Canis lupus familiaris: one gene and its partners. The protein of the gene in region 4 purifies or fractionates together with the protein of the main gene of each other region. This does not show direct contact. Links are inferred from orthologs where the notes say so. Each region holds a gene or a part of one and is shown on either strand. Other genes may lie near its edges.

Region 1 (3,500 bases), about 84 Mb from region 4:
AGTAAGCCTTCTTTTCAGAAATTTAGCTAAATTACAATTTCTAAAGATTTTAAAGGAATAATAAAGGTAGAAGATTTGGAAAATAGATAGAAGTAGGTTGTAATTCTTCCTTATCAGTCAAATACAGGTATCTATATCTAAAAATACTCCTATACAGTATCTCATTATTTTAAAGGATTCCAAGTATAACTAAATAAGTGTTTAAAAGGAGAGATAATATACTGAAAAGTACTGATGTTGTAATTTGTAAAGCATAACATTAGATTAAGCTTTTTTTTTAGAGTCAAGTTCTTGAGTTAAAAATCTGACTTTTTACTTTATAAGCTAGCTAAAAAAGATAGATACAGATACTGATAGGATTTACTTCTTATTGTGTTCTTTCTGTTTACAGAGAAATGCTATTCTTTCCAAAGCAAACTTAAAAATAGTAAATATAAAAACAATAGTAAATGTATATTGATTACCTCTCCCCCCACCTTTTTTTTTAAAAATCTATAAGGATATAAATGTCCAGATAGAGAAAGAAGAGAGGCTAGATGTACTCCTGAGAACAAGACAAAGTCTGGCGACAAATCCTCTTCATTTATTAAAATGATCTCCCAACAGTGGGATGCAGACAAAAGGCTCTCACCACCCAACACCTCCATATCTAAAACATCAGACATCCCATAGTCTGGCTTTGATTTGAGTCATCTTCCCTTCTAAATGGCTGCTGAGATTTATTTCTCAAAGCTTGGTTGCCCTGTGTGAGTAAAGAACTTTCCATGTAATATTTGACCAGTATTTATCAAAAAATAGAATCTGGATTTTTTTTTTTTTTAAACTTGCTCCACACCCAATGTGGGGCTTGAACTCACAACCCTCAGATTTAGAGTCATGTGCTCTACTGACTCAGCCAGATAGGTGCCCTGAAATTTTTGTTTTCATAGATAAAATTTAGAGCCACTCTATAAAATAGTGATTTTTATCAAACTATTTATAAGGATTGATTCAACTGGCAGAGTTGTAACTTAAAGAAATCTCTTTGTTCTTTGGTTCTATAATGTGTGTTTTTTTTACTTTAGGCAACAGAAGCAGCAGTATACTAATCAACTTGCCAAAGAAACAGATAAGTACATTAAAGAGTTTGGATCTCTGCCCACCACCCCCAGTGAACAGGTATCAAGCCTTAAGACATGTTGTTGATGTATTGAATGTGAAAGAAATTACATGCATTATAGGGTCTTTGAACTTTTATGCTAGAAAGGAAATGAAGGGGGAAAATTGTATTTGAGATTAGTTCACAGAACACAAAACTATATTTAATTGCCCTGGTAGTATCCTGTGGTTCAATAAAGCAAAAATTATTTCCATGCAGTTGCCCTGACCCATAATTAAGCAAGTGCTCAGAAAATGCCCCCTGAGTAATTGTTTCCTGGCCTTCCAGGACTGACTCCATGTGACACGCACACATTCATGATGTGAGGTTTCCTAGGGGCGCATGTTTATTTCCTTGCTTATCATTTAGTGGAAGTTATAGTTAGGTAAGAGTACAAGGTTTTATTTTCCTAAAAAGAAAACAAAAGAACTACTACTTCAAAATAACCTCAAAATCATGACCCAGTTTTTAAGATGAAAATTTTGGGTGAGAAATCCAACATTATGGACCTTTTGCCTCAAGATAGTACATATACATAGTACTTTAATATATTGTCAAAATGTTGCTTAGATGTAAACAGTAGGAAATTGGAGAGTGAGTGGAAACTTCAGAATAAAGAGCCAACTCGTGGCGAAACAACCTTGGTGAATTCTATAGAACCTTATACCTTGATTCTAGTAGGTTTCTCCGTTTCCTCTAGCGTCAAAGGAAAATACAGAAGGATCGCTTAGTAGCTGAATTCACAACGTCACTGACAAACTTCCAAAAGGTCCAGAGGCAAGCCGCTGAAAAAGAGAAAGAGTTTGTTGCTCGAGTGAGAGCCAGCTCTAGAGTATCTGTGAGTATTGAACAGGGCGTAATAAAGTGCATGTGCTGTTCCCTTGAAGGCCTGCATCAGCGTTTTCTTAAGTCGTAAGGATCTGTGACTGACTGTCTTGGAAGTCAATATTTGAATATTTATTTTCAGGTTTTTCTGCTCAGTTTTAAGAAGGATGACAGTTATATATTGCTGTAGTTATTTTGTCCATGTCAGGGAGCCAAAGATTACAGATTACTATATAAAAATATGGGAACATTTTGTCAGAAAAGACTAGGGCTCAGATCCTGAATGATATTCCCACTTTGGTTTGTACTAGGGGCTGTCAACCTTGCATCTGGGCCAATGTAGGAAATGCTTTACTCCTGGGTTATATGAAGATGATGGAAAGGAACAGAGTAAATCAATTGCATGAATACTGAAAATGAATATAAGCCTGAAGAAAATAAACAAAGGGATAACTTTTAGTGGAATTTTGAGTTTATCTCATTTTAAATTTCCTCAAAAACCATTGCCAGTTGTTTCCTTATTCCTTAATGTAGAGTTTCCTGGACTATATTACATTTTAATCATATAATATTGATTATTTGGCCCTTGAGAATATTTAATGAATTCCTTCCTTGTCAGCTTAGGGAAATAATTTTATTGTTATTTGAAGCACTTGACCTAAAAAGTTAGAACAAAAACATTTCTCTTTCTGTACATAGACATACACATGTGTACATAAACCCATTTAGATTATCATAAGAGAAAATGTGAGTGTTATGATGGTGTTTTTTCTTTGCCACTTCTCAATGCATTCTATTACTGAATTATCCAGGGTGGTTTTCCTGAAGACAGCTCAAAGGAAAGGAATCTCGTTTCCTGGGAAAGGTAAGAAATATAAACCATACAGATGAGAAGATGATTTTTCAAATGTGTTTTCTACCTTATGGTTCCTGGAACAGAATGAAAGCTTTCAGTTTATTATGTCATGACTATCCTAAGTTATAAATACAAAGCAATAAATTTGAAAAATTTTTTCAAAGTAATCATTTATAAAGCATATATATATAAAATATTCCAATTCGGCAGTAATTTGTAAATGTTTATACAAGTAAATTTTATTGACTTAATTATTATTTGATGGAGATTTTTTTTATTTCCTCATGTGACATTTAGGTCAACCAAGAAGAAATACCCGGTTGCCAAATGTAGAGTCCAATAATTAATAACTCTAAAAAAATAATACCAATGAAATGAAACATGAATAAAATTTGATTAATATTTCTGTTATAATCTTAAAACTTAAGAATACAAATGAGAAATTGAAGCAGTTCTCTGACGTTGAAGAAAAGACACACTATTTTGTGCTTCTTAAATAAGAAAAGAAATCCCATTACTTCCATTATTTTAATACCATTCTTTTTTTTTTCCGATGTTTTGTTCTGTTAGCCAAGCTCAACCTCAGGTACAGGTGCAGGAGGAAGAAATTACAGAAGATGACCTCCGCCTTATTCATGAGAGAGAATCTTCCATTAGGCAACTTGAAGTAAGTTTGCCGTG
Region 2 (4,262 bases), on a different chromosome or scaffold from region 4:
ACAGCTAGCTCTCAAGCAGAGGTTACTCCCAGGATAGAGCCTCCTCATTGTCACCCATTCTCCCCATCTCAGTTCTACAGCTACTCACCTGTATTCTGTGCCGCAACTGCTGAAACTTCTCTTTCACTTTAGTATTTAGTTCAGTAAGTGCACTTAATGGTCCTGAACAATCTCGAATATCCTAGGAGACAGTGAAGAGGTGAAGGGGCCTTTCTTGAGGCAAATGACATGAAATGAAACCACCTGTACAGGGGGAGTTGGCTTGAACCACCACTAGGCTGGCCTACTGTCTGTAATTCATCCTGATCTTTGCTGTTTACCTCTGCAACACGAGCAAAAACATTATCGTTTACATTTCTCTCATAACCTCTTTAATTTTGAGCAGGTACTATAATAGCATAAAAAGAAACACAACTGTCCTATTAGTTCCTAAAGTTTAACAAAATGCCACCTAGTCAGTATAAAAGGCTTAAAGCAGATCATATGTCCAACAAGAATGGACATCCAAAAGTGATACAACTTGAAAATCAGGATGCTCAATTCCTGGCATCATATGGCAAGGTTAACTTCGATCATCTATTACAAATCACAGTGTTTACAGACCTGTTCAAGGGTAGATTTAGAATTTGTTTCTGCGCCGGGACACCTGCACCCCGATGTTTATAGCAGCAATGGCCACGATAGCCAAACTGTGGAAGGAGCCTCGGTGTCCAACGAAAGATGAATGGATAAACAAGATGTGGTTTATGTATACAATGGAATATTACTCAGCTATTAGAAATGACAAATACCCACCATTTGCTTCAACGTGGATGGAACTGGAGGGTATCATGCTGAGTGAAGTAAGCCAGTCGGAGAAGGACAAACATTATATGTTCTCATTCATTTGGGGAATATAAATAATAGTGAAAGGGAATATAAGGGAAGGGGGAAGAAATGTGTGGGAAATATCAGAAAGGGAGACAGAACGTAAAGACTGCTAACTCTGGGAAACGAACTAGGGGTGTTGGAAGGGGAGGAGGGCGGGGGGTGGGAGTGAATGGGTGACGGGCACTGGGGGTTATTCTGTATGTTAGTAAATTGAACACCAATAAAAAATAAAAAAATAAAAAAATAAAAAGAATTTGTTTCTGGACATTCAAAATTACTGGGGTCAGATTTTAGAGCAGGCTCTAGAGCCAAAATATGTAGATGCAAACTCCAGCTGCAGCAATTTATTGGCTGGATAACAAAAAGTCACTCTGGTTCTCTGTGCCTCACTTTTCTCATCACATTACCTACCACATAGACCAGGTACGTATGCAAAGTATGTTGCAAAGGAGCTGGAACACAGTAAGAGCACAGTATATCTAGGTATATCATGAGAACCCCAATATCAGAGAGTACAGAAGGGCTTAAGCAATTTAGATTATGTGAAAAGGCAATCTTTTTATATGAATCCTAAATTTATTTTCTTAAAGTCAGCCCAGAAGTTTTGCAATATGTATGAATAAGTGTAGTTGAAGAAGTTTAACAGTTTGCATCAAGTTTTCTCATCTGTTTTCTGGCTTACTCATTAAATCACACTTCCTTGTACCACGATAAAGCACTACTTTGGTTTATTCTGCATCTGGTCTCCATGGAGAGTCCTACTTTCCTTCGCTTTTTGCCACAGCTAGTTGCAAAATCTGAGTCTACATCTAATGCTTAGCAACATTTTTGGAAACGGAGGAAATAACTTGCCTAAAGCCAAAGTTTAGGGGATCCCTGGGTGGCTCAGCGATTTAGCGCCTGCCTTGGGCCCAGGGAGACCCAGGCTCGAGTCCCGCGTCGGGCTCCCTGCATGGAGCCTGCTTCTCCCTCTGCCTGTGTCTCTGCCTCTCTCTCTCTCTGTCATGAATAAATAAATAAAACCTTAAAAAAAATAAAACTACTAATAAAGAGTTTAAAACTCTTGGTTTCTTTTTGCTAAATTCAAGGAACCATTTCTACTTTCCTCTTGCCTAGGCCAAGCAGTTATTGCTCTGCTGCCTTCTACCCTTAAGTGGCTCAAGGCAAGGAGTGTCCGGTACCCCATCTGTTAAACCGAGTTTCAGAGACCCCCTAAGTCCCTCGTCTAGGCCGACTTTCCCTGTCCGGTCGCAGTCTTGCCACCACCTGCCTTCTGATTCAGGCCTTGGCATTTTAGCCTTTTTCCTCATTTACAAAGTCGCAGCTACTATCTAGGTGGCCGGGGGCCTCCCGCACGACGGGGCCCTTGGTGCCCTGGGGCACCTCCGCCGGGGCGGCGGCCAGGGGAGGGCGGGGCTCGCGGCCCTCGGGGCGCCACCGAGCGCGGCGGAGGGAGGCGTGAGAAGGCGGGGCCCGTCGGGGCGACAGGTCGTCCCAGTCGACAAGTGTGCGGGGGCGACCCATGTGGCCACAGACCGGAAGCCTGGCCAGGGACGAGGGGACGCGGGAGCGTTCAGAGGAGGGCAAGACAACAGCGCGCGGAGGGAGGATCAACGCCAACGGCCCAGGAGACGGGACCAGAGGGGGCCGCCAGGGGGTAGCGGGCCGTGGGGCGGGACCAGCGACCTCCCAGACTTGAGACCGCCGAGCTCACAGGAGGCCGGTGGAGCCTGGGTTCAGGGCTACAGGGCCCGGCAGCCGTCCCGGGAATTAGTACCTGGATAAGCGCCTTCACCTCCAGGTCGAACTTGACGATCTCTTGGTTACAGATACGGACGTGGACATCTTGGGGAGCCGCCATGTTGAGGACGCCGGCTACGGGCCGCGGCGGGGCCCAAATTAAACTCGTTTTTGCGTCACCTTCGTTCCGCGTCGGGGCTTTCGGCAGCGCCCTCTAGGGACCAACCTGAGGCGAGCGAGGGTCGAGGCGAGGAGGCCGGAGGACTCGCCTCTGGTGTGGTGGTGGAAGGGAGGTGGGCGGGGGGGGACTGGGCAACACTGCTGGGGGGCACTGGATGGGATGAGCACTGGGTGGTACGCTAGATGTTGGCAAATTGAACTCCAATAAAAATAAATTAAAAAAAAAGAAAAGAAAAGAAGAAGAAGAGAGGGAGTATCGAGAGCGTTTTAACATTGGCCTCTCCCCATCTTTTACCTAAAAGGCATTCTAATGACTACATGTTTTTTGCAGAAGAGAGAGAGAGAGAAAAAAAAAAAGGAAAGTATCAATTGGGATGTCTCTGGAAGGTGGAATTAACAATTTTTTATATCTCTTTAAATTTCCTTATATTTTTCATATGTTGTACAGTGAATATAATTGTGGAGCAAATGAAAAGATGGTAAATGTTATTACTGCTTTTCACGTGTGGAATTCAAGACAGGCCTCTTCCAGCACATGGTCCAAGGGTTCTAAAATCACAACTGATCAAGTCACTTCCCCACCTCCACCTCTTTTGTAGCTCCTGGCACGTGCCTTTTGTGTACAGTTGGATTTATTAAAGCCTACCTTGCTGGAGTAGTTTTGATGGAAATAATTAAGAGCAGACCCTCAACGAACAGTGGCTCCTGCCTTTATTATCAAATAGTCCAAGGCCATCAGCCACCTCACTCCATCGCTCTCCTGGATTCCTCAAGCTGTTTTTGGATCTGTAGCTTTGGAATGTGCTGTTCCCTTTTCTTAGAATGCTTTCCCCCTCTTGCTCCCACCCCATGTGCTTCTGTTCACATCAGCAAGCATAAATTGTTAAGACCTGAATGCCTAGCTGTGTTTTTCTCTTAATCCTTCAACCAGACTTGAAATAGGTAATACCCCAGTTTTACAGATCAGTAGATGGACCAAGAGTAGATCAAAGCGAAATAAATCAAAACTGAACGTCCCTGCCCCAAAGTTACATAACTTGAAAGTGGCAGAGCCTTCACTAAAAGCCACGTCTTCCCTCAAAAACCAAATATGGCCCCTTGGGTATAGTGTCGTACACAGGGGGCTATGTGCTTGCCTATCTGTGTTTCTCCACTGCTCCACACACCATCCGTTAAGGCGTTCATCACCCCACTGCACCTAATAGGCAATGTATTGCAGGCCTTAGAGTCAACCCTGCTTGAATCCTGCTGGAGGACCCACTTCACAGCTCTGCCCCTCAGAATTCTGAGGCTAACTGGTAGAGTCACAGAGGTGGAGGATTAAATGAGGTAGTACATGAAAAGCACCAAGCACAGTGTAGTCATGTGGCATGTGTTTAAGAACTCAATGTGCATTAGCTGCTATGACATTACTGACATTTTTTGGAGCACTTCCTATGTGCCAGGCACTTTGTACTAAGTTCTTAATGTGT
Region 3 (4,056 bases), on a different chromosome or scaffold from region 4:
TTTATTTATTTATTCACAGAGGCCTTTAAATCTTTATTCCAATGTCACCTTCTGAATGAAGTTTTCTCTACCTTATTAAAACTGCAACCTGCCTTCTCCCGTCACTCTCAATCCTCTTCTCCTCAGTTTTTCCCTTAATACTTAACTACCGTCTGGGCAGCCCGGGTGGCTCAGTGGTTTGGCGCCGCCTTTGGCCCAGGGTGTGATCCTGGGGACCTGGGATCGAGTCCCATGTTGGGCTCCCTGCATGGAGCCTGCTTCTCCCTCTGCCTGTGTTTCTGCCTTTCTCTCTCTGTCTCTTATGAATAAATAAATTAAAAAAAACCCTACGTTCTAAAATAGTGGGCATATTTATTATGGTGTGTGTCTCGCCCCACCAGAACATAAGTTCCATGAAGATTGGGCTCTTTGGTTCACTGCTGCATCCTAAACAGCTAGAAAAGGGCCTAGCACACAGTAGGCACTCAATAAATACCTTTGAATGCTTGCTGAACACCAGCCTTGCAGCTTAGACTAAAGGTATGCCTGGAGGTCAGCCCATTGCCCAGCTCTTACAGGTCCGGCTGGACCCTCAGCCTCTCACACCAATGACTACCACAGTTTCCCCCTGAAACATCCTCTTATCTTGTCCATTCTCTTGCTTCCTTCAATGTGCTCATTCCTTGGAGTTCCTTCCTTAGAGACATATTTGCTCTCCTGCCTTCACCACATCATTGTAAGATACCCAAACTGCCCTATCTTCAATCCAGGGTACTTTCTGGGCCCACCTACACCAACTCTGACCTCCAGGAACTCCAAATTACTCCTCCCTGGGCACCCAGACAAGGGCAGTTAGATCGCCTCAAATCTCCTCACTAAGATGTTGATTCAGTGACCTTCTCCCTCCAGGGAAGTTCCTCTTCTTGATTTCTTGAATTCTGCCCATGGGGCAGAGGATGACCCTGTCATATGGGCAGGAAAGCTCCCTGTCATTTATGACCTTTCCCTCTTCTTCCCTGGGCGGGGTTATTAGCTACCACACCCTACCTGAGTAATGTCTTTGTCATCTAGTCAAGCTTGACTCACCATGTTGGTTTCTAGAAAGCATGCCTTCCACAACCAAGCCCAGATCACATCTGGGGATTCAGCAACTTCTCATGAATGGAGAAGGCGACAGGATGTTAGGTGGATTGGGAGTCAGGAGACTTTGGGTGAGATTTTTTTTCTCTCAGCCTCAGTTTCCCCACTTGAAAATCATTAGGTTGGACTTGATGATCTCTAAGGGCCCTTTCCCCTTACTTTTGCCACCTAATGGTCTATGAAACCCTGCAAAATGTCTTAGTTCTGGGAATAATAAACCCACCTGGGTTTTTCTCATCCTCGTGTTGACTGAGTTATAATTCTCATCAGCTTCTTCATTCTGGGGCTCTATGGCTGTGGGAAGACACAAGGGGATTGGTGGGGAAGGAGATTTGATCTGTGTGGCTTCAGAAAATCATGTGGGAACCAGGACACAGGGCCAGGGCCATACCCCATCCATACAATAGAGAGGTGCTTATCTCCACAGAATTATTTTGGGAATTATATTTTATCATAAATGACTAATTATGAGCCTCTGACGGTAGCTCAAGTGTATTTTTCTTTGCAATACTGAGCCACACAGTCCCCAGATATACCAGGAGCTGGGCAGGACCACAGGGAAGGGTCTGTCTGAGGTCCTAGGGGCTCACCCTTCAGCTGTGCTCGGATCTCCCTCCCCAGCTGTTTGATCTCCTCACGCAGGTTCTGCAGGTCCTGCTTCATACCTGAAGAAGAGAAAGCCATGACTCCCAGACAGCGGCTCCTACCTCAAACCAACCTGCCTGGCCACCACCTGCACGGAACTACAATCCCCACAATCCCTCTGGCTGAGCATGCGTTTGCACTTGGGGTTTCACTCACTCTCCTCGGGAAGGGGCGTGGCCAGGATGGTGACCTGCTGCTTCTCCAACTCCCGGACTTTATTCTCCAGCTTGACAATAGTCTGTCGAATTGTCCGGACCTGGGGAAGGTGACCGAGAGGGCTGAGGGAGATGGGGGATACTCCGGACCGCGCTGCTCCTCGGATCATCCAGCCCCCTCATGAAGACAGGCGGAGACCCCAGCCTCTTACCTTTTGGAAGAACTCCTCGTCCGGGCTCCCCAGCCGTGCCGTGCCCGGGTGTACCACCAGCGCGACCCGCTCCTTGTCCTCATCGTCCGAACTGTCATCCCCCTGCCACGGCCGGGGTGGTCACTGGCATCACTTCCCTGCGGTTGCTCTCTCCCCGCAGGACTCACAGACTTCCGGGTCTTTCCTTCCTAGCCCTCAGCCACCCCTCCCTGTCCCGAAGACCGGGAGTCCTGTATGCCAGCCAGACCCCAGCCCGTCCGCCCACCCCCAGCCCTGCAGCCCCCTCTCACCTGTCTCAGTTCGTGGGTCCGGTCGCGCATGGCGGCCCGAGCTCCCTCTTCCCGGCGCCGGAGCCCCGAGGGCCTCGAGACTAAGTTTGGAACTCCCGTACCCCACTCACACTCTGACACTGACACTTCCCTCCGCCCTCACCCTGCGGACCCCCGGGCCCCCCCACGAGCCACCAGAGGCTCCGTCCCGGGCACCATCCACAGTCAGTGGGAAGCAGCCGACCCCGGGGACCCCCCAAGATTCCACAGGTTGGAATTCCCTTTTCTTCCCCCCCTCCCGTCCCCGTAGCCTCGGCCCCGCCCCTCTGGGATGATCGGGGCATGCGCACGGGGTCGCGTCTCTTCCTCGCCGGAGGGAGCCTGAGGTCGGAAGCTGCGGCGCCCCGAACGGAAGCAAAGCTGCCAGGACGTGAGAACCCGCCCCCTTCGCCGGAACTGTCGCATCTACCAACGGAAATCTAGTTGCCAGACCGGGTGGGAGTGCGTCATTGATACGTAATCTCAGAGGCCCTGCATCTCACATCACCCCATGGTGCCCCCCCCACGTCACATGACCAGCCCGGTCCCACCCTCGCGGACCTCGGAACGTGACACTTTGATTGTCACGTGCCCCGGCGCTGTCAACTCCGTCTCTGGAGCACCTTTCTCCCCACGACGTCTCCGGGACCCTGGCGCCCAAGCTACGCCCCTCCAGCCTTCGCGAGGCGGGGCGGGGGCTGCTGACTACCCCCAGAGACCGTTTGAGGCAGTGGGTGGTAGGACCCTCGCTGAATTCGGCTTCATTTTCTTTTGGGTCCAGGGACGTGGGCAGACGGAGAACTTAGAATTCGGGGCTGTCAGCATCATGGGACCTTGAGATTCAGAAAATAATAAGATCCAGCGTCAGAGAATTGCAGGGTTTTGTAGGCAGAGAATCTGGGGGTGGAAAGTGACCTCACCCAAGGCAGAAATCTCTCCTCCCGCATCCTCCTGGCGCAGCCTCTGACAGGTGGGCGGCTGGCGCCCTGCATGAACACTGCAGTTCCGCCGCACTCACCACCTTCCGAGCATAAGACCATTTCAGGGCAACTAAAGCTGAGAAAAGTGTCTGTATTACATTGAGGAGTCTGCCACTTAACATCTAACTCCCTCCCTCCCTAGCATCTGGGTCTACCCTCTGAAGCCCGCAAAAAAATCTGCACACATTCCCCATTATAGTGGACCGTGGGCTCTTGAGGTCAGGGCGCCGCAGTCTTGTTCTTACCTGAATCCCCAGGGCCTATTTCAGTACCTATCACATATGGGCCCTCAATAAATATCTGTGGACAGAACTTTAACCTTTCATGTATCTGAAGATAAAGCTTGTCTTTTGGGCTTCAGCCTCTCACGGTGACACTGCCCTAGCCCACTAGATGGTCATTCATTCAATGGATATCCATTTATTGGGCACTTATTATGGCCAGAGACTGTTGTAGGGGTCGGAGATAAATCAAGGCCTAACTGACAAAAACCTTTCACTTGTGAAACTTACATTATGTGAGAGCAGTCTCCAAGGCCACAAAGTGAGTCTCAGCATAGCCAGAATAAAAATCAGGTCTCCTGGATCCCAGGACTCTTTCCAGAGAACTTACATGAAGGTTCAAGCAAAAGAAAGAC
Region 4 (3,500 bases):
GCCTGAGGTTACAGGGGAACGGGCTCCATCTAGACTTAGGAGATCACGCGTAGCCCCATGCCCCACAAACCATTACTAGGGTGGGGAGGCTGTGAGGCGGCAGTGCTGGGACACTGCTCCCGTGCCCCTCCCTGCCAGAACCTGGCACTCCAGCTAAGGTACTCACTCTGGGCTGGGCCCAAATTAGGCTCCCCTCCTCATCACTGCTTCTCTTGCTCCCTGAAAGGTAATTCCCATCCCAAACACACCCTCCCTGTGCCTCAGCTCCCAGGGCAATAAACCGTGCTTGCTGATCCCTGGAGAAACCAAGCTGGCCTCTGGGCCCCACAATGGCCATGGCCATATCAGCAGACATAACTGCTGCTGCTTTCACTGGCATGGGACACCTCTGCCATGCTCTGCACTTCCTGAGGCCAGGCATGGGGCTGCGGCCCTTCCCAAGGCCCCAGCATCCAACACACCCCCTGCAGAGCCTTGCCTCCAGCTGAAAAAGCTCAGATCAAAAGCCACTGAAGGACCTATAGACGCAACATCACAGGCACAACATCACGGCGGCGTCGGGTGGAGGTCCATCCAAGGGAAGTGCTGGGGTTTTTGTTTAAAGAGCAAAGGGCGCCATGCACGTGTCATGAAGCCTGACGCTCAACTCCCGCCCCAGAAACGAGTCCTTCCAGTCACTCTGGAGCAGCAGCTGAACATCACAGATGCTACGGTGGCATCTCCAGGAAGCGCCAGTTCCCCAGGGACCAAAGGGAAAGCTGGTTGGCAGGGGGAGGGGGGACAGACATCCCTGGGTAACTTGAGGCTGCCCTGAGTCCTCATCATCACATGACCCACCTGGTCACAGGGCCTCCCCTCTGGCTCTTGGTGAGCCTGGGCCCGCCATGTGACCCTCAGGCCAACCTCTGTGAGATACTCAGCTCCAGGGCAGTGACTGGTCAAGTCTGTGGACACAGAAAAGCTATCTGGTCTGCAGAGATCAAATCCCTGACTGGGAACTACGTGTCCCTGGTAGTAGTAACAGATCTGCCAACAATTCCCCAGCACTGGGGCGGGAACTAGGGTTCACCAAGCCTTACAAACACCTCTGGACCTGGGTGTAAACTGTCCTCTTGGGAAGGGCAGCCCCTTTATTTCAAGATGAGGCATCTCCTTTTTTCTTTTTTTCTTAAAACATTCACCTATTCCCTATTCTCTCACAAGAGAATAGTAACAATAGATTGTCTCCTAAAAAAAATGTCTTGGCTTGCTAAAATTAAGAAAGTCAGCAACCTGTGTCTGGCACAGAGATTTAAAAAAAAAAAAAAAAAAAAAGAAAATCCCAGCTCCCTGAAATCCAAAATTCTGGTACCCACTGGGCTGTGCCTCTGCTTCAGGACGAGCCCAGTGGGACAAATGGTTTTCTCACCATGAGTCAGTCCCAAACTGGGCTTCTATCCCCAACACTTCCTCATTTTAAGTAACTTGTTCTCTGGCAACTCTATCCAGGGCTCTGTTCTGATTCTCCACCACCCCCCCCCCCCCCCCAGGGTGTAGGGAAGCCAGGTTAGGATAATTTCCGCTCCTTTTTCGGCAGCAACTCCTACCTGGCTGGTCTCAGAACCCCCTCCCACCCCCTTCTGCATGTTAATTCTGACAACAGAACAGATTTTCGTCTCTCCTTGGCATGCGGTGGGTCTGCAATGTAACTCCCACTCCCAAATGCTCCCAGGCTCCAGGAGGGAAGCCATCAGCTGCGCACACAAAGTAGGGGTTGGGGGGGGGGAGGCGGCAGAGGCTTGGAGCGGGGATGCAAATGCCAACCGGAAGGGAGCCAATTCTGAAGTTCAAGCACAAGCGTCTCCCTGCCAGCCTCTGGTATGCTTTGGGCCCCTGGAGAAAACCGGAGCCTCGCGGAAACCCGAAGCCTTCCCTGAAGAGGGTTCAGTCATGTCTGTGCTGGGGGCAGCCAGGGCCCCAGTGACCCTTGGAGGCTCACCTTGGGGGTCAGCTTTCTTGAAGGCATTGCCGGCATCCACAAAGCAGGTGGCCGCGTCATGTTTGCTCTGGAGCTGCAGGTGCAGCTGGGCTGCCTGGCAGAAAGCGTTTCCGGCAGCTGGAACAGAAAACAGTGAGCTCAGCCTGAGTGGGGCTCCGCTTGTCAGGAGCCATGCAGACGCTGCCCTGGGGGTGGCTCTCTAGAATGCAGTGGGGCCTGAGTGAGGAAGTGGCTGGCCTGGGTGAGCTGAGGTGAAGGCCTCAACCTCAGGCTTCCTGGCCCCTGGACTGAGACTTCTGAAGACCCGTGAGGTAGACTAGGGAGGGAGGAGGAAGCAGCATTGGGTAGAAGCCCCTGAGCCCCATGTATATATAGAGAGAGCCAGGCTGAGGTCAGCTAAAATCCCATTGCCCTGATCCCAGCCTTTGCCAGTTTTCCAGGGCCACCCACTTCTAAAGATCCAAGGAGAAGGCAGACTGGGCCAAGAGATCTGCAGGATATATAAACTATCCCCAGCTAACCCCAGCAGTGGCCCCAGGGGACAGCAGGAACTCCAGTGTATGGGGACAAGCGCCCACGGGCAGAGGCTGGTGGAGACCACATGGGAAGCCTTTTCTGTCCTTTGCCTAGCTGCATGCTGTTATCCTGCACTGGCCACAAGCCACTGGGGTCACCAGTCTGCCTCCCATACTGCCTTGCAGCTTGCAGGAGACTATGGCATCTCTCCTCTTCTAAGGCTGGAGAGCAGGGATAGGACTGTGCTAACTGGAAGCTCCAACACCCACTTCCGGCTCAGCCAGTCTCCACCTGAGGTTACGCTTCCCTTCATCCTACTCCAGCTGAATTGGGATTACAGAATTCCTAAACTGGAAGGGGACCAGAGCGCCTGGCCCCATCCTGTAACTTCAGAGGAGTAGGGAAGACAAAGCAGCCCAGTTTCCATTATGTCTGATTTATTTTTTAAGGGCTCAAACGTGACAGCATAATTTCCAGAAAAGCAGCATCACTGGAGAAAAATGAGAAAACAGCCCAGCACTTTTGTTTGAATGGCTGGGGCCTGGGGAAGTGACAAATTTTAGGGGCAAAGTGACATCTACGTGATGAAGAAATATTCTTTTTCTGCTGGCACCTTATTAGTTTGGGAGCATGAAATTACACATGGTGTGTGGCTTTGTGTACAATGTATTTGGTGACAGCTCAGGGAAAACCCTTCCAATTTCCAGGAAACTAAAAGCATTCTCAGAAAACGGGGAGAATCTGTCTCACCCTGGGCTTCCAGACTGCCTCCAGGGTCCCATTCCAGGCTTTGTCTCCTGGGTAAGAAAGTTCCTCCTTGGATCCCAAACCTGTCTCTGCTCGATTTCCTTGATCCAATCTTGCTGATGTGCAAGGCAGGGTAACATAATGAGATCAGCCTCGATGAGCTCTGATGGGCTAGATTTTCAAAGCTCTCCTCTAGATCTTCCAGCCTCTCTGATCTCTAGGAGCCCATCCCTGCCTGCCCACCTCTCCTTGGTGGAGC
Region 5 (4,247 bases), on a different chromosome or scaffold from region 4:
ATGATATCTTCCCAATCTAATATTTGTACATGCCTAACCTTCTATAAGTACCTATCATGTTTTCACACAGCTCAGTGCCAGGTCTCTAAGCTGGGAGGTTAGCAGGTGACTTGGGTCTGATGGGAGCCACACTGTACACTGAGTGGCAGGAAGAGCTCAGCAACCCCAGCCCAGTTCCCACCCCCATTCTGACTGGAATCAAAGACTGATTCAAAGGTACTCTGGAGGGGCAGCTGGGTGGCTCAACGGTTTAGAGCCACCTTCAGCCCAGGACCTGATCCTGGGGACCCGGGATAGAGTCCCGCATCAGGCTCCCTGCATGGAGCCTGCTTTACCCTCTGCCTGTGTCTCTGTCCCTCTCTCTCTCTCTCTCTCTCTCTCTGTCTCTCATGAATAAATAAATAAAATCTTAAAAACAAAAACAAACAAACAAAAAACAAAGGTAGTCTGGAGAGTACAGAGTGGGGTGGGGAGGGGGTGCTGACCATCCCAGCCTCCTGGGGCCTCTGATGATTGGGAACTGACTCAATCCCAGAAAAATTCAGTGTCACCATACTTATGACAGTGCCTGTCACCTGCCTAGTCTTGATCATACCGTACTTCTCAGAGCAACACCAACTTGGCCCAGTCCAAGCCTCCCAGGCCTGAGCTGCTGTTCTGCACCGGTGTTCTCATCGTGCCCCTTGAACAGAAAGGGCCTCTGGGTGCAACGTAGGGGGAGGGGAGTTGTCACCACAATCCATGTGAAACCACTCACTTTTATTATTTTTTTTGACTCTTCTTCCCTCTGAGGGACAGACTTCCCCTGACCACGAAAGGCTCCTAAGCTGCCTCCTGCGTCCCTTCTTTGAACATATCCTGTGCATCACTTCCCCACTGGAGCCCAGGAACTCTGGTGGTGGGCCAGTGTCTTTGCACTGCTCCTCTCTGCCCTATGAACAACCTTCTTACCTTTCTTCCTTTCCCTTCTCCTCACTCCTGTCTAAATCTTAGCCTTAAAAGCCAGATTTGAGTTTATCCTAGGCCATGACACCCTACTTTTATCATTCTGATTTCCCATTTCATTTGCTGTTTCTTTTTCTATGATTTTATTTATTTATTCATGAGAGAAACAGGGAAAGAGAAAGAGAAAGAGGCAGAGACACAGGCAGAGGGAGAAGCAGGCTCCCTGTGGGGAGCCCGATGTGGGACTCAATACCAGGATCACGCCCTGAGCCGAAGGCAGACGCTCAACCACTGAGCCACTCAGAGGCGTCCCTGTTCTGTTTCCAGAGATGTCCCTTCAAACAGTTCTTTTTTTTTTTCCCTTCAAACAGTTCTTACTTGGCTTCCTTGGACCTGGGACCCCTCCAGTACTCCAGTAACTCCTCTACTACTTACTTCCCCTAAGATCTTAGGTAATCCTCCCAAACCTTAATCAACACTTGCCATTCAGGAATCCAGTAGATATGAGCTCTAAGAACTACAGCTAAACTTCCTTAAGGAAGCCAAAGACAGGAAAATGGGCCAATGAGGGATACTGTAACAGGAGAGGTGCAGAAGGAAAATAGCCAAGAAAGTGGCAAGGGGGGAAATGACCCAGGTGACTATTTGAGAAATTAATCCACATATTCAAACTGCCCAAGACTGGAAGTGATCAGGTCAGAAAGAACTCTGCCAGAGAAAAGAGTTACAAAGAGACCCATGGAAGAAAACAACACTTCAGCTTCCACTAAGTTTCAAAGCTACAAATGCTGTAGATTAACGTTAGCTGAGCTAATCGATAACCTACTATTACATTTTTAAGAACTTAAATAAAAATGCCCATACCAAACCATTTCATTAGTAGGCTGAGGAAAAAATGTGGTGCCTAAGAAAGAACCATTCTCACTCAGGGTCCCTGAAATCTCCCACGGGTGGAAAGACGAACTGACAAAGGTGAAGTGGAGAAACGGATAGTCACAGATCACACACTGTCTGGGACATCTCCCTTTGGATTTGGTTAAGTAAATGTAAGGCCCTAGCCTCGATCACACTTGCGCTACGGCTTACTGAGCAGCTGCCCACAGACCTCATCACCTCTGCGGGTGAGGCGGAGCAGTGGTCAGCGCTAGGGGAGGACCTAAGGCTCATCTGCTCCGACGCCTTCCACAGCAGCACCCACTCTGGGTCACTCGAGGAGTAATGGTGAAACCCCTGGATCTGGAATCCTGCGCAGGCAATTATATGAAAGAACCTGACGCTCAATCTCTCTAGCCCGAGCTCTGCTGTAACTAAGAAAGATTACTGGGGGCAAACTGCCTCTTTGGAGTATTCAAGATACCCACCTCTTGGTACGACTAAAGTTCCTTGAGCGCGTGTGACAATTCAGAGCGGCCGGGCCGCCCTGTTCTGCTGCAGACTCACCTCGGAAGACGCGACGCCGACCTTCTCGGACTCGTACATGAGGGACAGGGACCTCTCGGTGCTGGCGGCTGTGGCCTGGGCCACGCGCATCACCTCCTGCCGCAGATACTGCTGCCTGTCCGCGGGCGTGCAGGGCCCGTCGGCGACGTCGCGGTCGTCCTTCCACCGGGCCGGCCGGGCGCCCTCATCCTCCGCATCGTCGTCGAACGGGTTGTAGCTCTTGGGGTAGGCCGACATGGTGCCGGCGCTCGTCTCGGTCTGGGCAGGAGGAGGAGGTGTGCGGCCAAGGCGGGGAACGGCCTTTCTGGGCCCGCAGGGGTCCAGGCGGTCCTCCCGGGACCCTCGGGGAGCGCCCACAGCGCGGCAGCCCCGCGGTTCCGCCGCTCGCCGTCCAGCGCCGCGCGCCCCCGCCCCACCCGCCCAGGTCGCGGAGCGAGCTCCTTCCGCCTGGCGTGCGCGGGAAGCCCCGCCTCCGGAGCTGACCATCTTGCCCGGCGGCTTGGGGGGGGCCACGCCCCGTGCGCGCGGCCGCGGCCGACCGCTCGGCTTCTCTCTCCCCTCCCGCGGTGGGACCGCCCCGCGGCCACGCCCCACTCGGTGTCGACAACAGAGGTCACGTGGCGGGGAAGGCGGATGCCGCCGCGCCTGCGCCGTGGGCTGTGGCGCTCGCAGGCCGGGTGCGAGGAGCCCGCGGGCAGCGCCGCCGCGCGCGCGATGATGGCGGCTGCCGCGGCCCGGGGAGGGGGCGGCGGCAGCTCCGGCGGCGGCGGCGGCTCCAGCTCCGGCTCCAGCTCCTCGAGGGGCTTCTACTTCAACACGGTCCTGTCGTTGGCCCGCTCCCTGGCCGTGCAGAGACCGGCGTCTTTGGAGAAGGTAGCCTTGGCCGCCCGGGCCTCGGGCTGACAGGAGAAGGGGGTTCGGGGCGGCAAAGCGGGTGATCGGCGGGGCGAGGGTCTGTGGGAGGCTGAACAGGGCTCGCCAGCTGCCTGTGACAGGACGGGGGGTGGTGAGGAGGCCCGTGGGTGGAGATCGCCGGTGAAGAGAGAGGTGGGTAACGGGGTGGTTTGGGCAAGGAGTGCGCAGGGCAGACGGGGACTTGGCGGGTCGGTGGCGCGAGAGGGACCTGAGCCACAGGCCGGGGTTTGAGCCAAGGAGGCACCTTGTGACATCGCAGGGGCGGGGGCGGCAGGCAGGGAGAAGCTGTGGGAAGAGCAAAGGACCAGAGTCGAACCCTAGGGGCTCAGCTCCCGACTTCCTCTGCTGCTTATTCCGTGACCTTGGAGAGATGCTGTTCTCGTAAAGGGGGGTGGGGGGCGAGGAGGGGGGTGCTTACCTGCTTTGCCCGCCTCACGCTGCTGTGAAGGGAGGATGAAACAGTACATCTGAAAGAGCTTCTGAAATGCAGATCGGCGCGTTGTCTTTCTGTGAGTCTAGAGGGGGCATTAGACTGGTAGGAGATGGTGTTTTGAAGAGGGATGGTGGCAGCGAGGAGGAATGAAGTGTCAGCGGGCAGAGGATTGAATTCAGGATTGCTTCAGAGGAGGAAGGCGAATTGATGCCGGGGGGACTTTCTTTGCCTCGGGAGAAAGGTGAAAGGAAACTCAAAGGTGTGCCTCCACTGGTGGAAAGAACCCAGATTTTAGAGTCAGACCTGTTTGTTCCCCGCACTTTCTCTCTTGGTCCTCCCATAATATAACTTGGGCAAGTTATTTCAACTCTGAGAGCCTGTTTCCTTATGGGTGAAATGCAGTGGTTCTTGAGGAGTAAACGAATTCAAGCATAAAGGGCCTTCCGTAGAGTGGGTGAGCAGTAAACATCAGCTTTCCTCCCCAACCAACCTGTGATGAGATTAATTATGGGGT
Region 6 (3,500 bases), on a different chromosome or scaffold from region 4:
ACATGGAGCCTCCTTCTCCCTCTGCCTGTGTCTCTGCCTCTCTGTGTGTGTGTGTCTCTCTCAGGAATAAATAAATAAAATCTTAAGAAAAAAAAACTTATGGCTATTCGTCCATTTCTAGCCTAGAAAAATAGGAATTTCACAGAGCCTAAAATAACAGTTGATGAATGAGGGAGAACAGCTGAGTATCTGGAAAATAAATCTCTAAGTGACTCTAAGGCATTTTCAGAGTTCAGAGCCACTACCACAGATGAAGGTCATTGAGGAACTCCAAGTTTCTCCCCTTTGCAAGCCCCTTCTCCTCACTGCCCTCAAGGATGACATTCTAGCTGCATGGAGGATTAAATTCTTCAGGTTTAAGAATATACTAGTCATTATATAAAGTTAAAGGTTGGAAAATCAGGTTAGAAAATCCTCAAGACCTTTCCCTCAACCCTCACCTCAAAAACTGTTCCTGTTTCTCTGCTCTAAAGTCATATCCACAACTTGGGATTCGACTTTGGGATGCACAAAAATTAAGCCAACTTTTTGGCCTGCCTTTATTCTGAGCTATTCAGACAAAGCAAAGGGGCTCTCTCCATAGAATCCCACCTGAAGTTGGCATTGAGGTCTGGGTGGGGGGAGGTCTTTTTTTTTTTAAGATTTTACTTATTGAGATGCCTGGGTGGCTCAACGGTTATGTGAGTCTGCCTTCAGCTCAGGGCATGATCCTGGAGTGCCGGGGTTGAGTCCCACATCAGGCTCCCTGCATGGAGCCTGCTTCTCCCTCTGCCTCTCTCTATGTCTCTCATGAATAAATAAATACAATCTTAAAAAACAAAGATTTTATTTATTTATCTGAGAGAGAGAGAGAGAGCTGGGGAGAGTGAGCATGAATAGGGTGCGGGGCAGAGGGAAAGGGAGAAGCAGACCCCCTGCTGAGCAGGGAGCTCAATGAGGGGCTCCATCCTAGGACTCTGGGATCATGACCTGAGCCAAAGACAGATGCTTATCTAACTGAGCTACCCAGGTGCCATGGGGTCAAAGTCTTAATGAGGAATAAAATATTTGTTTGCCTTACTCTGTTCTTCATGCATATTCTCACAGAAACCATGTAAGATATGGTAACTGAGGAAAGGATTTGAGTCTTCTCAGGCACCGTGACCAGTACCATCATAAGAGTAGTTCATATTCACCATAATTACATTAAGATATAATATGCAAATCAATAAGAATTCATTTCATGCTTTTCATAATAAATGAGAGAAAATCCAGGTGGATTAGAGTGTAGATACATGGAGTCAAAAGACACAACCTGGCTCTCACCTCCAGCTGCCGAATGGCTGTTTCTCTCTCTTTAATAAGTTCCAGATCCTGTTCAGTGATGGCCACCTCATCCTCCTGGCTCTGCATCTGGTTCCACTCCTCATGGCTGCAAGGAGACAAGCACACTAGTTGATTCTTCCTCTGTAAAGTGTGCATGAGACACTTTACAACATTTCTACTACCAGCAGGACTTATCCAAGGACATTACATGGCTCCACTTCCTCTGGTAACAATACAAAGTACTTGAGGGTCACAGTTTTCATAACTGGAGGCAAAGAGTTGATAATACCTAGAAAACAAAGTCTCAGCTTCCCTGAGCAAAACTGAGATACAGCAGGATTATGAGGGATGGGACTCCTTGCTGTTTTCCAGTCAGGGGTGCACTCTGCAATCTTGCTAGGGTTTGCTAGACAAGGAAAACAGAGACTTGAAGTCAATGAAACATACTGGTCCATCCTCTTCTAGAGCACTCTCAAAGTGCAAGCTGAGATGGTCTCTTGGGTACTAAATGGGTGGAGGAGAGCAGGCTAAGCGACCTGTCAATGCATCTCCAATTAGTCTAACAGATTTACACCTTCTGGTTTTCAGAACATTCCTTGAGGGTGTATGCTTTCGGTTAAATGCCTCTTAAGAGAAAACTAAAATGAAAAGCTACTGAAATGTTATAACTCTTCTTTCAGGTACCATATTTAGAAGAAATGCTATGATGCTAGACAACACTTTGAAAATTCAGTATTAAGCATTTTCCCAACAATGTTCATAAAGCAGACATCATCTCCACAGTATTTCCTCCATGCGCTGGAGATACAAAACGGAGTTAAGAGGGTGCCTTGGCGGCTCAGTGGTTGAGCCTCTGCCTTTGGCTCAGGTCAAATGATCCTGGAGTCTGGGATCGAGTCCCACATTGGGTTCCCCACAGGGAGCCTGCTTCTCCCTCTGCCTATGTCTCTGCCTCTCTCTCTCTGTCTCTCTTATGAATGAATAAATAAAATCTTTAAAAACAAAAACAAAAAACAAAAACGGAGTAAGACAGCACCCTGCAGGCACCCCTTTGAGGTGCTCACAGTGTAGTGGGGAGAGAGATACGTATCTTTGATAAAGCAATTTACATTCTGAATTAATATCACCAATACATTTCTATGGAATTAGTTAATTCAGTTTGGAGAAATTAAGAAAGAAGATGTCTTTCAGATGCAAACTGTTTGCTTCGTCTTGTACTACTCCTAAAAGAACGAGTTGCCTCCATTTTGGATGGATATGGTAAACAGAGATCCAAGAACTTTGAAAAACTTACTTCTGAATTAGAGGTAAAATCTTCATCTGTAGATTTGTGTATTTGTACTTATTCCTAGTGAGGCAAGCTCTCACCCCAACACAAAGACATCGGGGATTTCCCTGGCTTTTTTACTCACCTTGAAATTGTTCCTTCCATATTCAAATATCTTGGAAAAGCCCAAGGTTTTGACTTTTATTTTATTTGGTGGATTATAAGTCACCCACCCCAGGTCTCCCTTTATTTTTCATTCTTTTCCACATGATTTTGAAAATTAGAAGTAAGTAGAAAGTATAGAATCCCATCTCAACTAGCCAGCAGGTTGTACGGAAAATTCCTTACCCATCAAATGAGACGAGCTGCTCCTCTCTTTGCCTCTCCTCCGCCTAGAAAGCAGATGGCATTATTGCTGCTGTTATCCAGAAACATGCCACAGACAGACACATAAAACAATGGCTTCCTTTCGCTACAGTATAAAGAAGCAACATTCCCTTGGCTCCAACAGGATCTGTAAGATGACACAGGGCTCTGGCAATCTGTCTCAACTAGAAAATGGGTGTGAAGTAGTTGAAATCAAATCTGGGCTCAGAATGGTAACCTTACTGAATAGGATGGAGATAACACGGATCGGAGAGAGGAGTAAACAACAGTAATAGTGATAACTTATTTTATAATCTTCAGGGGGGTAAAATAAGGGAAAGAGTTGAAAACTTGCAAGGAAATAAATTTTCAGAATATGTAAACATTAAAAAAAATGGACATTTATGGCATATCAGGCACTAAAGTGGCAGACTCATTTCAAAAATCAGTCTAATGCATGTATTAAAAAAAGTTAAAAGAGCAATCTATTCCCATTAAAGTCTTTCCTTCCTTAAAATAGCAGTAATAAAAAAAAAACAAGCAAAACGAAGAAAATTTCAAA
Region 7 (4,270 bases), on a different chromosome or scaffold from region 4:
CAAGTAAATTATAGTTTATCTCCTCTAGATCAACCACTAATGCTATTCAGAAAGAGATTATAATTACTTTTAATTATACTTTTTAAATAGTGGTACATATTGTTAGTCCACAGACCTATATCTGAAATGCATAACGACATGGATATACTTTTCATTCATCCTTTTCTATTTATCAATTAGAAACAGATTATAAAGGGAGCAAGCATAAGTAACTATTAACAGGGAAACTACTACATTTTTAAAGAATTACTGTCATTCAATTAGTCAAATCAGTAAGCATTTTTCCATTGCCAGCTAAACAGTCTTCTTTCAATTCCACTGGAGCTCCTATGTTTGGGCTTTACATTATACCATATGCAAGGCCAAGTCAAGCCTTTATTTTTAAGGCACTTAAAGGTTTCCTTCTATATAGTAAGAATAGTTACATTAAAACATAAAGACAAGAAAAAAAAATCAATTGTAACAAAATCTGTTTTCTTAGAAACAGGTTTTACAACTTTGCACCCATGGATGACTTTGTTACTTTATATAAAACATCTTCCCAGTACAAAAATCTATTAGCCCAAATAGAAAATGCTTCTCTTTTAAAACTGTTACAATTAAAAATGAACAAAAATCCAACTAAAATCACAAGTCCTGAAACTCTGGGACTCAAGTCAAAGGAAGTAGTCTCCAGCAACAAGGATAATAAAAATCAAGATGGTCTTGGGCAGTGGAGAAAGGCAGAACTGAAGAGAAGAGGCGAGGTGATGTATCATGAAGTGATGAGGCCATCAGCTATTTTCTCCACAAAAATCTCTGAGGCAGCAGAGCTCGGTGATATATGCTACCTTGGTTTTCTCCTCCTGTTCCCTCACTTGGGCTCATAAACCTCTTTAAGACATCATCCACCTCTCCAGAACTAACTGGGACTTCAGGAGATGAGTGGGGTGTAAGTTCAGAGATCCTGGTTTCAAGCAAATGTCCCTATTAATAGAAAATAGGTGAGGGAAGGGGAAAGAAAAACAAATAAAGGAAGAAAATTATTTATAAACACGCACGTTTGGGGGAAGTAGGGAAAGGGAAATAGGAATGTCAACTTAGGTCCTGCAGAGATTACTGCTGACATCAAGGATTGACTAAGGAGGTGGGAAACAGGAAGCTGCCCACCAGTTCACAGATCAGTGAGCATCCCCTTTTCTACGCACTACACCCCAGAGCCAGGTAGGCCCAAATCCAGACGATGGTTCAATTTCCTTAACAAAACTAAGCTAAAAGTAGTAATCCTATCTGTAGCTAACCACTCAAGTTAAATCTGTATTTAGGGAAAGATAAATCCTAAACCAGTGTCTCACATAACAAAAAAAAATTACCAAATATCATATTCATCGGTTCATTTACTTTAACATTTTTTCTGAGCCCTTTCTAGGTAAATGCCAAGTTGACAGTTGAGCATGGAAAGTAAGTCATGCTAAAACACAAAAACAAGGGGAGCCTGGGTGGCTCAGCTGGTTAAGTGTCTGCCTTCAACTCAGGTCATGATCCCAGGTCCTGGGATGGAGCCCTTTGGCAGGCGGCTCCCTGCTCGGGGGGTGAGTCTTCTCCTTCTCCCTCTGTCCTTTGCCCCTGTGCCCATAGCTCTAATTAATAAATAAATAAATAAATAAATAAATAATAAATAAATAAATAAATAAAATATCAAAAAAATTTAAAAACCCACAAAAACAAAATCAAGAACACTTATAGGTAGGATACGTGGAATTTCTAAAGCGAGAAAAACTGTACCAGGTGTTACAGAAAATTGGGTTACGGTCTCCCAAGAAGGATGAGAAATAAGAAGTGGGGTGGAGGGGTGTGTGAAAGATACTAATAGCAGCTTGCACCAAAACAGGGCTTTTCGTATGTTAAATCATTTAATCTCCACAACTCCACGAGAGAGACGTACGGCTAGCTCTCCCCTACTGACCAAGAAGGAGAAAGCTGAGAGAGGTTTAACAAACTTTCCTTTGTTTTTTTTTTTTTTTTTTTTTTTTTTTTTTTTTTTTAATTAAGAAACTTTCCTAAGTGCCCCGACTTTTAAGTGACAGAGCTGGGATCCGAACCCTGGCACCGTGGCTCTTAACCGGCCTGTTCTGCCACCTGGGATACTATCATTGCTAACAAAACAACAGGACTGTGTATCGCAGACCCATGTTGTTGTTGTTGTTGTTGTTGTTGTTTTCTCAATTTTTTTTTTTTTTTTGGACCCATGATCTTGATGCATCCACTCGCTCCGTTTGAAAACTCGCATCTCCCTTTCACAAACGAGACAAAAAAACAACACGAAAACCGAGGACTCCGAGAAACGTGCCCAAGGTAGTGCAAGGGACGGGGCGTCCCGGCGCTCCACGAGCCAGCCCGGACGGTCCCTTAACCCTGCGCCGAGTGCAGCTGCGTCGCTCCGCGAGGGCCCCGGCACCACCTGGCGCCTTAGAGACGCTCCCCCGCCCCGCCCCCGAGCCTCGGCGCCCCCGGGGCCACCCCCGCCCGCCGGGTCAGGGCTCTCACCAGGTGGGAGTCGGGGGACCCTCGCAATCTTGCCGGTGATCTCTGCCGTGAGCACCGCGAAGTCCTGCTCGTAGCCTTCGAAGTCGGATGACATGGCGGCTCCGGAGTGACGGCCCCGGGCCGGAGCCCAGGTCGTGGCAGGGGCCACGCGGGACAGAGGAACGCGGTGTCAGGACCCCGGGAGGCGGCCTCGGGAGCAGAGCGGGGAGAACCGGGGACAGCTCCCAACCCGGCCGCTTCCTGGTTGTTCGTCGCAATCACAGTCCCCCCCACCCGCCCCGGAATTTGCCTTGGGTGCGTTGTTTTTTGTCCGCTCGGGCTTCAAGATTTAAAAATTCGCGAAAGAATAGCGCTTCTATTACTGCCCCCCCTCCCCCAACAAGAAGCTTTCGGAAACCTGAGGATTCTTGGGGGGGGGGGGTCACTGGAAGCTTTTTTTTTTTTTTTTGGCCCTTCTATCTCCTGAAAATAGAGCTCTAAGTCGCAGGAACTTGCTTCCCGAGGGAAGTCTGATGCGGCGAACCTCCCGGAAGTGGCTGTCGCGGGGACCGCGCACTGGGCGGGAGCGGGAGAGCAGCGGCCGGAGCGCCGGCTGGGGAGACGCGCTGGCGGCGCGGCGGGCTCCGCGCTGCAGCCCCGGACAACCGAGATCTGCTTTACTGCTTGCGCGGGCCTGACTTTCCCGTGACGGGGTTGTCGGCGGAGGAGAAGACCCGTTCCGGGTGAGCCCAGGCCGCCCCGGAAATGCGATGGCCGAGGAGCGGGTACCGAGGACCAGGCTGAGAGGTGGGAGTCCAGGCAAGGGATGGAATCATGATTCGGGCGGTGATTCGCCCCGCCCCCCCCCCCCCCGAGTGAGCCCAGAAGCTCCAGAATGTTGAAACCAACCACGCTGGGCGGGATGCTCGTCCCCGAGCGAGAACCTGGAAGCGCTCTGTTCTGCGGCGCGGGCGGGAAATTGAGGCTCGAGCCGTGGCATCTGTTGCGCGAAGCCCCTTATGACCCTGCAGCCGAGATCCTCCCGCCGATCCACGGCTGCCCAGCCCGACACACCCTTCCACGGGTCTTCCGGCGCCCTGCATCCTGCCTTTCCTGTCCCTCGCTCCGGAGGCACTTCCTCATCGTGTTTTGTTTTGTTTTGTTTTTCTTTCTTTTCCCCCAAATATTTTCTTTCGTGTTCATCCTCCTGTGTTCCTCGAGGCCCGTCCCCTCCCCTCCTTTCACTCTGTCTTTGCTTTCACTGGCTCGCCTCTTAACCTTCGGCCCAAATAGACCCTTAAGTTGGGTGTTTTGGCGCGAGCCCAGGCCAACGTGTAGACCGTGTCGGGCTCCTCCTACCTGGCGAATCGAGCCTCGGTTGTTGGAGGCTGTTTGAAACTTCGTAAAAGGATTTCAGCGACTTGGTTCGTAGTGTAGGTTCAGCTGTTACTTGTGAGCTTGGTGCAAGCACGTAGCCTCCTCTCCGGGCCAGATTTCTTCTTCTTCGATGCAGGAAGCCATTGATTCCATCAACCCTCAAGCCCTCTGCTCCAGCTCTAAAACTCTCGGGTCTCCTCCCACCACTCGCTGAACGCCGGACAAGCACTGTTCCCCTGATAAATTGGAGACAAAGGCATAAAAACAACTGTTTTGGAATCAAGTATCCAGTTTATGTACCGTTCAGACTCGAGCCCTACATTGGATCAGATAAAAATAATTCTCTTTGGCGTTTGATGAGGCGCTCGTCCCATAGCAGTGCGCTTGT

Evidence for each region.
Region 1: the proteins of NAPA (region 4) and STX7 purify together in Homo sapiens (affinity purification with mass spectrometry; 4 studies listed by BioGRID and IntAct, counting the BioPlex papers as one, with this or other methods). This does not show direct contact. The link is inferred for Canis lupus familiaris from reciprocal best matches to the Homo sapiens genes NAPA and STX7.
Region 2: the proteins of NAPA (region 4) and BNIP1 purify together in Homo sapiens (affinity purification with mass spectrometry; 3 studies listed by BioGRID and IntAct, with this or other methods). This does not show direct contact. The link is inferred for Canis lupus familiaris from reciprocal best matches to the Homo sapiens genes NAPA and BNIP1.
Region 3: the proteins of NAPA (region 4) and STX4 purify together in Homo sapiens (affinity purification with mass spectrometry; 4 studies listed by BioGRID and IntAct, with this or other methods). This does not show direct contact. The link is inferred for Canis lupus familiaris from reciprocal best matches to the Homo sapiens genes NAPA and STX4.
Region 5: the proteins of NAPA (region 4) and SNAP29 purify together in Homo sapiens (affinity purification with mass spectrometry; 3 studies listed by BioGRID and IntAct, with this or other methods). This does not show direct contact. The link is inferred for Canis lupus familiaris from reciprocal best matches to the Homo sapiens genes NAPA and SNAP29.
Region 6: the proteins of NAPA (region 4) and STX12 purify together in Homo sapiens (affinity purification with mass spectrometry; 4 studies listed by BioGRID and IntAct, counting the BioPlex papers as one, with this or other methods). This does not show direct contact. The link is inferred for Canis lupus familiaris from reciprocal best matches to the Homo sapiens genes NAPA and STX12.
Region 7: the proteins of NAPA (region 4) and VTI1A purify together in Homo sapiens (affinity purification with mass spectrometry; 3 studies listed by BioGRID and IntAct, with this or other methods). This does not show direct contact. The link is inferred for Canis lupus familiaris from reciprocal best matches to the Homo sapiens genes NAPA and VTI1A.

The regions. Positions count from the first base shown.
Region 1 is NC_049222.1:25,688,564-25,692,063, reverse strand, and holds part of STX7 (syntaxin-7), read left to right. Parts: intron 1-1,064; coding exon 1,065-1,158; intron 1,159-1,838; coding exon 1,839-1,976; intron 1,977-2,775; coding exon 2,776-2,828; intron 2,829-3,389; coding exon 3,390-3,486; intron 3,487-3,500. UniProt on the Homo sapiens protein: May be involved in protein trafficking from the plasma membrane to the early endosome (EE) as well as in homotypic fusion of endocytic organelles. Mediates the endocytic trafficking from early endosomes to late endosomes and lysosomes.
Region 2 is NC_049225.1:40,187,212-40,191,473, forward strand, and holds the start of BNIP1 (vesicle transport protein SEC20), read right to left. Parts: upstream 2,801-4,262; 5' UTR 2,732-2,800; coding exon 2,648-2,731; intron 182-2,647; coding exon 89-181; intron 1-88. UniProt on the Homo sapiens protein: As part of a SNARE complex may be involved in endoplasmic reticulum membranes fusion and be required for the maintenance of endoplasmic reticulum organization. Also plays a role in apoptosis.
Region 3 is NC_049227.1:17,349,086-17,353,141, forward strand, and holds the start of STX4 (syntaxin-4), read right to left. Parts: upstream 2,801-4,056; 5' UTR 2,452-2,800; coding exon 2,422-2,451; intron 2,234-2,421; coding exon 2,132-2,233; intron 2,021-2,131; coding exon 1,921-2,020; intron 1,785-1,920; coding exon 1,710-1,784; intron 1,414-1,709; coding exon 1,343-1,413; intron 1-1,342. UniProt on the Homo sapiens protein: Plasma membrane t-SNARE that mediates docking of transport vesicles. Necessary for the translocation of SLC2A4 from intracellular vesicles to the plasma membrane.
Region 4 is NC_049222.1:109,227,202-109,230,701, reverse strand, and holds part of NAPA (alpha-soluble NSF attachment protein), read right to left. Parts: intron 2,096-3,500; coding exon 1,979-2,095; intron 1-1,978. UniProt on the Homo sapiens protein: Required for vesicular transport between the endoplasmic reticulum and the Golgi apparatus. Together with GNA12 promotes CDH5 localization to plasma membrane.
Region 5 is NC_049247.1:30,795,901-30,800,147, forward strand, and holds the start of SNAP29 (synaptosomal-associated protein 29), read right to left. Parts: upstream 2,801-4,247; 5' UTR 2,623-2,800; coding exon 2,386-2,622; intron 1-2,385. UniProt on the Homo sapiens protein: SNAREs, soluble N-ethylmaleimide-sensitive factor-attachment protein receptors, are essential proteins for fusion of cellular membranes.
Region 6 is NC_049223.1:71,947,104-71,950,603, forward strand, and holds part of STX12 (syntaxin-12), read right to left. Parts: intron 2,965-3,500; coding exon 2,921-2,964; intron 1,412-2,920; coding exon 1,306-1,411; intron 1-1,305. UniProt on the Homo sapiens protein: SNARE promoting fusion of transport vesicles with target membranes. Together with SNARE STX6, promotes movement of vesicles from endosomes to the cell membrane, and may therefore function in the endocytic recycling pathway.
Region 7 is NC_049249.1:23,792,230-23,796,499, reverse strand, and holds the start of VTI1A (vesicle transport through interaction with t-SNAREs homolog 1A), read right to left. Parts: upstream 2,801-4,270; 5' UTR 2,621-2,800; coding exon 2,527-2,620; intron 1-2,526. UniProt on the Homo sapiens protein: V-SNARE that mediates vesicle transport pathways through interactions with t-SNAREs on the target membrane. These interactions are proposed to mediate aspects of the specificity of vesicle trafficking and to promote fusion of the lipid bilayers.